Macaca mulatta: one gene and its partners. The protein of the gene in region 2 purifies or fractionates together with the protein of the main gene of each other region. This does not show direct contact. Links are inferred from orthologs where the notes say so. Each region holds a gene or a part of one and is shown on either strand. Other genes may lie near its edges. The genes, in order: CNNM1, protein tyrosine phosphatase type IVA 1 and CNNM3.

The links.
Region 1: the proteins of protein tyrosine phosphatase type IVA 1 (region 2) and CNNM1 purify together in Homo sapiens (affinity purification with mass spectrometry; 4 studies listed by BioGRID and IntAct, with this or other methods). This does not show direct contact. The link is inferred for Macaca mulatta from reciprocal best matches to the Homo sapiens genes PTP4A1 and CNNM1.
Region 3: the proteins of protein tyrosine phosphatase type IVA 1 (region 2) and CNNM3 purify together in Homo sapiens (affinity purification with mass spectrometry; 6 studies listed by BioGRID and IntAct, with this or other methods). This does not show direct contact. The link is inferred for Macaca mulatta from reciprocal best matches to the Homo sapiens genes PTP4A1 and CNNM3.

Annotation. Positions count from the first base shown.
Region 1 is NC_133414.1:111,448,608-111,452,073, forward strand, and holds the end of CNNM1 (metal transporter CNNM1), read left to right. Parts: intron 1-2,166; exon of another isoform or gene 2,167-2,198; coding exon 2,199-2,382; exon of another isoform or gene 2,383-2,423; intron 2,424-2,501; exon of another isoform or gene 2,502-2,530; coding exon 2,531-2,868; 3' UTR 2,869-2,942; downstream 2,943-3,466. UniProt on the Homo sapiens protein: Probable metal transporter.
Region 2 is NC_133414.1:120,657,120-120,659,806, forward strand, and holds protein tyrosine phosphatase type IVA 1, read left to right. Parts: upstream 1-1,265; 5' UTR 1,266-1,610; coding exon 1,611-2,132; 3' UTR 2,133-2,173; downstream 2,174-2,687. UniProt on the Homo sapiens protein: Protein tyrosine phosphatase which stimulates progression from G1 into S phase during mitosis. May play a role in the development and maintenance of differentiating epithelial tissues.
Region 3 is NC_133418.1:5,482,204-5,485,858, forward strand, and holds part of CNNM3 (metal transporter CNNM3), read left to right. Parts: coding exon 1-454; intron 455-3,655. UniProt on the Homo sapiens protein: Probable metal transporter.

The DNA of each region.
Region 1 (3,466 bases), about 9.2 Mb from region 2:
CCATTCCTAACAGTTTTGTATAATAGATTCACTCATGTTATCTCATTATCTCTGGGCCTCTTTTATAAGATCAGAGAGGTTAACAATGTGGCCAGTGTATTCATTTGCCCATTGGCTGATTAAAAATGTATATATATTTGGCCAAGGCCTCCCAGCTTGAAAGTGGCAAAATTGGGACTTGAACTTTAGTTCTTGGCAGTATGTTTCCTGCCATATTTCTTAGGTGAAGGGACATTTGTCCTTTGACTAAAGTAGAAGCCAAATCTAAATAACTAAAGAACCCAAATAGAGTAAGATCAACTGCTTTACTGGGCTTACCGAGTGTCATTTAGGGAATTTTCCCGTCCTTTGGTGTTAGAGCCAAATTTCCTCATCTTTGGGGGAAATTTTGGAACCTGACTTCTCACTTCCCAACAGAGGGAGTGGCAAAAGTCACGTGTTCTCAACAAGCACATTGAATCGATTGAAGACTTTGGATAAATGCTAAGTGGAGACCTGTGGTTCCACGCCATAGAGCAAAGAACATACCATTTTGACCTAAAAAATATCAAAGCCAGTTGTTAACACTTTGCTGCTTTGTCCTTTAAAATCCTTCAGAGAAAAAAACCAAAACCTGAGTAGTACCTGTATCTGATTTTAACTAGGTCTTAAGTCAGCAGTTCTCAAAGTGTGATCTCCAGACTAGCAGCACCAGGAACACAGGAACTTGCTAAAAATGCAAATTCTCAGTCTCCACCCCAGACCTAGCAAATGAGAAACTCAGAGTTAAACCCAACAATCTTGTTTTAACAAGTCCTTCAGATAATTCTGATGCTGAGGTTTGAGAATCACTGATTTAAACCATCAATAGAAAACTCTATTTGCCCACCTGAATGGGCAGAAGTATGATTAGAAGCCTGGAATCTCTGTATATGTGTGTCCCATATGCTCTGCAAAAAGGCATGCATTCTTAACTGGTGTTTTATGATTAGATTAGTTGTGCTTAGAATTTGCTTGGTTCTCTTGCAAAATATCCTGAAGTTTGTTGAAGAAAGGATTGATCGTGTCCAGTAAAATAATGGGTCTTGTGAGTAGTTGACAAGGAGCCACTGTTGAGACCTTACCAGATACAAAGCCAACTTCAAGCCTACTCTCTGTCACAGTGTGTAAGCCTCAACCATCCCCCTCCTACTGCCAGCAGAAATCTTTCCTGTTTCAACATGTGATACCAATTCTGCCCCAAAGGAAAGAGAAGGCAAAATGAGCAGAATTTGTTCGTTCTCTAGCGCTAATGCAGTGAAGGGGGGATGAAAACGCTTTAGGAGATGCTATGATTGGGAAGGATATTATGCCACATACCATTTCCATTCTTCTCCCAGTGCCAGCCACTGATGAGCAGTTTCACATCCCTGTACAGGGTGGCACACTACCTAGTCTGTTTTCACTGCTAGCAAGGATTCACAGTGCCTGTCTGTGTTGTATACCCAGAGAACAGGGGTGACCGAGACACCTTCCTGCCTTTTAGAAGAGACATTTGATCTATATTTTTCCTGCCTGGAATCATGGAGACTCCTGTCTGGTCTGGCTGCAGCCTGACCCTCCAGATGCCTTCACTTGTGGCTGACGTTTGACACAGCAGGGAAATCACAAGTCTGACTCCTGTGATTTGAGGAGACAGCTGGGAGACCTCCCTGCTGTGGTCCCTGCCAACATAGGAGCATGACCCTACATCCAGGGATGGGCTTAGTCCAAATCAGAAATGCCTGTGTTCTCTCAGGCCCTAGCCTCCAGCTTCCCAACACTGAGACCTGGGGCATGAGAGCTTCGCTGCTGGAGTCCTACCTTATTCTCACCAAGTCACCCCCGACTGACCCTTTGGGCCTTTGGCAATAGTATAAATGTGTGTTTTAAACTTCTCCATGGACAACCACCCGGCTCTCTGAAGATGCCCTCCATCCTCTCCAGCGTCTCAGAAGGTTTGGTTCTTCCAGGTGCCAATAAAAAGGAACAGTGGGAGCTGGTGGCAGACCAGCAAAGGGCCCCTCACTGTCCCTGCTGGACTGCTACAGCGTGGGTAAGGCCCCCGTTGGTGGATCTCAGGCCTCAGAGGCCGAGGGTTCCAAGCACCCCAGCGAGGCTGCCCCCGAGCCTGGGAAGGCTGGCTGCATCCAGGAGGGCTCTGCCTAGCTGCTCCTAAGCTCCTGCCCTCTTCCTTCCAGATCACACGGCAGCAGTATCAGAACGCACTCACTGCCTGCCACATGGACAGCTCACCTCAGTCCCCTGACATGGAGGCCTTCACAGATGGGGACTCCACCAAGGCCCCCACAACCCGGGGCACACCCCAGACCCCTAAGGATGACCCCGCCATCACGCTCCTGAACAACAGGAACAGCCTGCCGTGTAAGTCAGCTGGGCAGACGGGCAGGCCGGGCTGGTGTGGGGTGAGGACGACCCTGCCTTCCTCTTCTAGCCCTGCCCAGGGCTCACACCACCTGAGCCCTGGGTCTTCTCCAAATCAGAGAGGTGATGCACGTGCTGTCCTCCCCAGGCAGCCGCTCAGATGGGCTGAGAAGCCCCGGCGAGGTAGTGTACCTGAGGATGGAGGAGCTGGCCTTCACCCAGGAAGAAATGACTGACTTCGAGGAGCACAGCACACAGCAGCTCACACTGTCTCCGGTAGCCGTTCCCACGACAGCAGGTCAGGGAGGCCGACTGGGCCTAGCAGAACAAGGGGGATCATCGCCTTTGGGTACTGGGATGGCCCGGGGAAAGCTGGCTGAGGGGAGCCCTGGGACCGCAGCCCCTGCGTTAAACCTCCAACCTCCTTACACAGCCAGGGAAAGGAAACATTTACTGAGCACCTACCATGCATCAGGCCCTGTCTGATTCATTCTCCCAGGAAAACTGTGTAGGGCAGTATTAGGAGTTGGGTTTCTGCCTGGATTCAGACCCTGGCTCCTTCATTTAGGAGTTATGCAATTTTAGGCAAGTTATTAAACCTAAGACTCAGTTTTTTTTGTCTGAATAGATAAGTATCCTTATGTTAATAGGTATAAATTATGACAGCTATCTTATAAAGTAGCTTTGAGCATAAATGAGATAATGTACATAAAAGGCATATCACAGTGTTCAGTACCATGCTTTATAAATGTTACGTAGCTATTATTAGGCCTACCTCACAGATTAGGAAACTGATTAGGAAACATTCTAACTAGCTGTGGCTTTGACCAAAGGTGTAGTCTATAGACTTTTCCTGAGGTCTCGGATCATATCACCTCCGAGACGCTGAACACTGCTGCCTTGACAGTGGTGTTGCTCTGAGCGCCCAGGGTCCCAGCAGTCCTGAGAAGCTTCTGTGTTTGCCTCTCTAAGATGTACTTCCCCAAGCTTTCAGTAGCCCCCTAAGCCTGCACCCAAGCCAGTAGTTCCCCTGCCAGACCTACTCCAATCCATAGTATAAGACTCAAGTCCAGAGCAACAACCT
Region 2 (2,687 bases):
CCCTACAAAGGAAGACCTCAAAAACAATGTTGGATCCTTTGGGCACATATACACACAACATGCTCAAAAGATGATCTAAGACAACAATTATCACACTCTATGATCGATGAGGTTCCAGCTGGTTAGTGGTGAAATCGGGTTGGAAACCAGTCTGATACCTGATTATTTTACACTATTTCTCTTAACTTATAATAGGAGCATGTATTGCAGCTATTTTGAATTTGAATAGCAATTTATTTGAGGAAATAATTCTTCAAACTAATTAAGAATGCTATGCTAGTTTATGCTAAAGGAAAAATATCCATATTCTCCTTCAAAAGTTTTCCATTTTTTGGAGACATTATTTTAGAGTACAGCATAGTCTCTCTTCCTTTAATGCTTCTGTATTCATTCAGGTAAATACTACCCTCAGTTTTCTTCCTTCTCATTTTTAGGTTTTTCCCTTCCTTGATGGTTACATGACTTTAGTACAAATATATGTCTCACAAATTAGAACAGTGACTTATTGGCTCACAAAATGCTGCACCTTGTGATACCATTTGATAAAATATCTTTTATTTTAGATTGTTTTTATAAAGAAACGAGAGAAAACTAGAGGAAGAGCAAAGATGCTGGTTCTTTTCACACGCTACCCAGGGAATGATGGTACTGTCCTTTAAAATATTGCCACGCATCAACAAATTCTGGAATAGGCCTGAAACCAATCATTGTATCTCTGCTTAAATTCCAAACTACAGTGGCTTAAGAAGAGCGCTTAAGTTCTCCTATTTATAAATATTTGACTAAGATCCTTTAATCAATTTACAAGGAAGTTGTAAAAGGTAAAACCACTTTATGAACAGCCTGAAAATAAAACATTATTTTCATGCATTATATAACTCGTCTCATCACAGTGTTAAATAGGTTCTGCATTTTTTTCTAAATTAGTAAATGTCACAGGTGCTCTGAAAGATAGGCAGGAAGAAGGAATTACCTGCATTCTTATAAAAAAAAAAATAAAATACAGGTCTGGTGCCCCTGCCGCCTCCTGCAACGCCGCCACCGCCGCTCCGCCATGACCACCGCTGCCTCCTGCCCTGCAGCCGCCACCACCGCCTGTGTTGACGCCGCCTCGGGACTGGTTGTATGATTAGGCCACAATCTTCAATGAGTAAACATATTGCTCAATGCTGTGGTGTTCTTGGTCACACATTTATGGAGTTTCTGAAGGGCAGTGGAGATTACTGCCAGGCACAGCACGACCTCTATGCAGACAAGTGAACTGTAGAAACTGATTAATACTCCATCAAGAAGCCCACATAAGACTGGTTATCCTGGACACAGAAGTGTTGAATTGAAATCCACAGAGCATTTTACAAGAGTTCTGACCTGGATGGGGTAAACCTCAGTGCACTTCTTTTCTGGTGGCCTCAGTATTACTGGATTAAAGAATTGCTGCTGCTTGTTAGGAGGTTCATTTCATTTATCATTACTTACAACTTCATACTCAAGCACTGAGAATTTCAGTGGAGTATATTGAAGTAGACTTCAGTTTCTTTGCATCATTTCTGTATTCCAATTTTTAAAAAATTATTTCATAACCCTATTGAGTGTTTTTTAACTAAATTAACATGGCTGGAATGAACCGCCCAGCTCCTGTGGAAGTCACATACAAGAACATAAGATTTCTTATTACACACAATCCAACCAATGTGACCTTAAACAAATTTATAGAGGAACTTAAGAAGTATGGAGTTACCACAATAGTAAGAGTATGTGAAGCAACTTATGACATCACTCTTGTGGAGAAAGAAGGTATCCATGTTCTTGATTGGCCTTTTGATGATGGTGCACCACCATCCAACCAGATTGTTGATGACTGGTTAAGCCTTGTAAAAATTAAGTTTCGTGAAGAACCTGGTTGTTGTATTGCTGTTCACTGTGTGGCAGGCCTTGAGAGAGCTCCAGGACTTGTTGCCCTAGCATTAATTGAAGGTGGAATGAAATATGAAGATGCAGTACAATTCATAAAACAAAAGCAGCATGGAGCTTTTAACAGCAAGCAACTTTTGTATTTGGAGAAGTATCGTCCTAAAATGCGGCTGTGTTTCAAAGATTCCAATGGTCATAGAAACAACTGTTGCATTCAATAAAATTGGGGTGCCTAGTGCTATTGGAAGTGGAACTTGAGATAGAGCCTAATTTGTTATACATATTAGCCAACATGTTGGCTTAGTGAGTAAGTCTAGTGTAGCTTCCATAGGAGTATTGAAAGGCAGTTTTACCAGGCCACAAGCTAGACAGATTTGGCAAACTCTGTATTTGGGTTACAGTCAACCTATTTGGATACTTGGCAAAAGATTCTCGCTGTCAGCATATAAAATGTGCTTGTCATTTGTATCAGTTGACCTTTCCCAAAATCATGCAGTATTGAGTTATGACTTGTTTCTATTCCCATGCCAGAATCTTATCAATACATAAGAAATTGAGGAAGATTAGGTGCCAAAATACCCAGCACAATACTTGTATATTTTTAGTACCATACAGAACTAAAATCCCAGGAACTATGAACACTCTAGACCTTATGTGGTTTATTCCTTCAATCATTTCAAACATTGAAAATAGGGCTTACATGGTTATTTGCTCACTTGATGTTTACATCTCCCACACTCATACCAGTATACATCAGGTTTGCCTAACCATTGATT
Region 3 (3,655 bases), on a different chromosome or scaffold from region 2:
CTCAGCCGCCTGGCCGTCCTGCTCACTCTGCCCGTGGCGCTGCCCGTGGGGCAGCTGCTGGAGCTGGCAGCGCGGCCCGGGCGGCTGCGGGAACGGGTGCTGGAGCTGGCGCGCGGCGGCGGCGACCCCTACAGCGATCTCAGCAAGGGCGTGCTGCGCTGCCGGACCGTGGAGGACGTGCTCACGCCCCTCGAAGACTGCTTCATGCTGGACGCCAGCACCGTGCTGGACTTCGGCGTCCTGGCCAGCATCATGCAGAGCGGCCACACGCGCATCCCCGTGTACGAGGAGGAGCGCTCCAACATCGTGGACATGCTCTACCTCAAGGACTTGGCCTTCGTGGATCCTGAAGACTGCACGCCGCTCAGCACCATCACTCGTTTCTACAACCATCCGCTCCACTTCGTCTTCAACGACACCAAGCTGGACGCTGTCCTGGAGGAGTTCAAGCGAGGTAACATCCCGGGCATGGTGCAGGGGACGCCTGTGCCAGTGCCCTCTCCCTGAAAAGGGATGGAGAGTTATGAAAGCCTTCAGGAAAGGGTCCCACCCCCGTGGCGTGCGGTGAGACTTCTAAGGTCCCTTTTCAAGACGGTATTGGCCTTGCAGGTTGGAATCACCTTTTGAAATACTTAAAGGCCATCCATCAGAGTGGGAGAAATCCTTTAGACAGCGAACACTTTAACCCCCGCGTCAGGATGGCACCCCTATACATATCCTATTTGCAGGGAGGGGTATGTCCGCTTGGCTCTAATCCCCCAGCTCTTCCCCTTTCCCAGAGCGTTTCTGTGTGCTTGTCTTTGTAGCAGGTCCAAATGTTTGGCTAGAAACTAGAAGAACACAGAGAAGAGGGTAGTCTCCAGGTATCTGGGACGTTGTGGCCCGCACACATGTAATATCAAATTGACTGAACGTGTGATGTTTCCTTCAGAGCGTTCTTAAGGTCTCTGGCTTTACTGCAGATAAGGGTATTTAGGTGTCAATCTCTTATCTGCAGTAAAGCCAGGGAAACTTACACTTTGCTTCCCCCAAAAGTAACTCCACGGATGCTGACTTAGTCTCCCTTTCTCTCGGCTCTGTCGCCCAGGCTGGAGTGCAGTGGCGCGTTCTCGGTTCACTGCAACCTTCGCTTCCCAGGTTCAAGCAATTCTCCTGCCTCAGCCTTCCGGGTAGCTGGGACTACAGGTGCACGCCACCATGCCTGGCTAATTTTTGTATTTTTAGTAGAGACGGGGTTTCACCACGTTGGCCAGGCTGGTCTTGAACTCCTAACCAGGTAATCCACTTGCCTCACTCTCCCAAAGTGCTGGGATTGCAGGCGTGAGCCACTGTACCTGGCCTTTTTTTTTTGTTTGTTTTTGCTTTTTAATCTCCTGTATTTAAAAAATTTTATATAGAGACAGGGTGTCACTATTTTGCCCAGTCTGGTCTCAAACTCCTGGCCTCAAGTGATCCTCCCACCTTAGCCTCCCAAAGTGTTGGGATTACAGGCGTGAGCCACTGCACCCAGCCTAACCTACACTTTTCTATCTGTAAGGTTTCAAGTTCTCCCTTCACTCCACATTTTCATCCCTCCTTTCACTCTGTTTTATCTAAGCAGTTTGGAGATTGAAGGTAAAACCAATACTCCCCAGATGTGAAGGTGTGGTTTCCTCTGTAGTCCTCCCCAGCATCATCCTTAGGGGTGCTCCCCAGAGTTTGGTGCTCACACCTTGGCCAACAGCCATGCTTCTCACACCTGCACTCCTGTAGGGTGAGGGTGGGGGCACCCCAGGGTGGTGGATGGGCTTGACCCTAAAGGCTGTCTGCTCTGAGACCAAGAAGTGGCAAAGCCTCCTGGTATTTGTGGCAGGACGTCTCTGGCACTGTCTGTCAAGAGCCCCTGGCCTGTCGGTGCAGGAAGCCAGGCTTTGTGGTAATGACTGCTACTCCTGACTGAGCACTGCTATGTGCCAGGAGCTGATGGGCACTCTCTGTAATCTCGTCCCTTATTCCTTGCAGGAGGCCTGGGTGCTAAGTTACTGTCATTACTGTACCTCAGGAAGGGGTGGTGGGAGGCTTGGGTGGGCAGCTCTAACTATTCTCTTAGACTGTTGGGTGCTCCTGGCTGTGTCCCTAGAACATGGCCATGCCACCCTGCCCTGGGGAGGGAGCCTGGGCTTGGGTCCAGACAGAGCCTCGTGGTGGTAAGTACTCCATGTGGGCTGCCGGAGCCCGAGGCAGGGGTGGTTCTCCTGGTGTGGTGGCCAACAGTGCAACCCTGGACTCAACGGAGTAGGTTCCATCCTGCCCTTGCCTGCTCCCAGCCCCGGAAGGCTGCTCAGCCTCTTGTAGCGCAGGCTCCTCTGCTGCTAGTGATCAGAGTGGGTAAGTGCACCTGCGGCGGAGACTCATCAAGCACTTTGGCCAGTGCCTGGCATGCACGTGCTGTGTGCTTGGCGTTAGCAGGCTCTGCTGGTAGGTGAGCCGTTTGCCAGTCCGGGAGCAAGGGGTCAACCTGAAAGTGCAGATTTCCGTTTCTTCCAGGCAGGTCACCAGACTTCCTTCTTTTTAGGGAAAACGTGGAAGACTGTAGCTGTCCCTTTGGTGTTCTAAGCACTCACGTTTCTAGATTCTTTAAGAAAACGCTCGCTCTGGTGTCTGGCTTCAGCCAGCTGCTGCTTTCAACATTTGAGCAGTCCCCAAGCAGAGATTTGGGGCAGTGGAGATGGAAGGGTTGCCCCGTTCAGAACTAAAGGCGACTTCCGCAGTTGGTCGTGATGCTCAGGATGAGGCTGGTGAAAGTGGTCTTTCATTTTCCAAACCCTTAGGGTCAGGATCTTGGCTGCCGTGGTCTTGTCTTTCAGATGCGATGGATGAGCTTGGTCCAGGGTGGTTGGCGCTTCCACTTGGGGAAAAATCGAAAATGTTCATGTTCATTGGGAAGGAGCCTAGAGGCAGGATGTCCCCCCGCGGGGGGTGGGGGTAGGGTTGTGTGCTGTGTAAGGATCTTGGACTTGATCACCAGGGCCACGAGCATCAAGTAGCAGCATCAGTTTTTTTTTTTTTTTTTTTTTTTTGAGACAGAGTCTCGCTCTGTCGCCCAGGCTGGAGTGCAGTGGTGCAATCTCCGCTCACTGCAAGCTCCGCCGCCTCCCGGGTTCATGCCATTCTCCTGCCTCAGTCTCCCGAGAAGCTGGGACTACAGGTGCCCGCCACCACGCCCGGCTAATTTTTTTGTGTTTTAGTAGAGACGGGGTTTCACCATTTTCGCCAGGATGATCTCGATCTCCTGACCTCATGACCTGCCCGCCTCGGCCTCCCAAAGTGCTGGGATTATAGGCGTGAGCCACCGCGCCCGGCCAGCGTCAGTTATTTTTACAGATCAGTAATGATTGTGGAGACCAGCGGTGTGAGGGTTCCAGGTGAGAGGGGGTGATAACCTGAACAAGGTGCATGGCAGGCCTGGAGAGGAGCCCCAAGAGGGCAGCAGAGATGGAATTAGGAAGACTGGTGTCTGGCAGCGGGGCTGTGCAACAAGGAGCAGCAGCTGAGGATGAGGCCCAGATTTCTGACCGTGTGGTGGCGGTGCGCCTTCACTAAGGGCCAGGCATGGGGAGCAGGTTTTGGCCGTTGAATTTATGTCTGTGCAGTGTCCCAAGAGGCAAACTTCTAG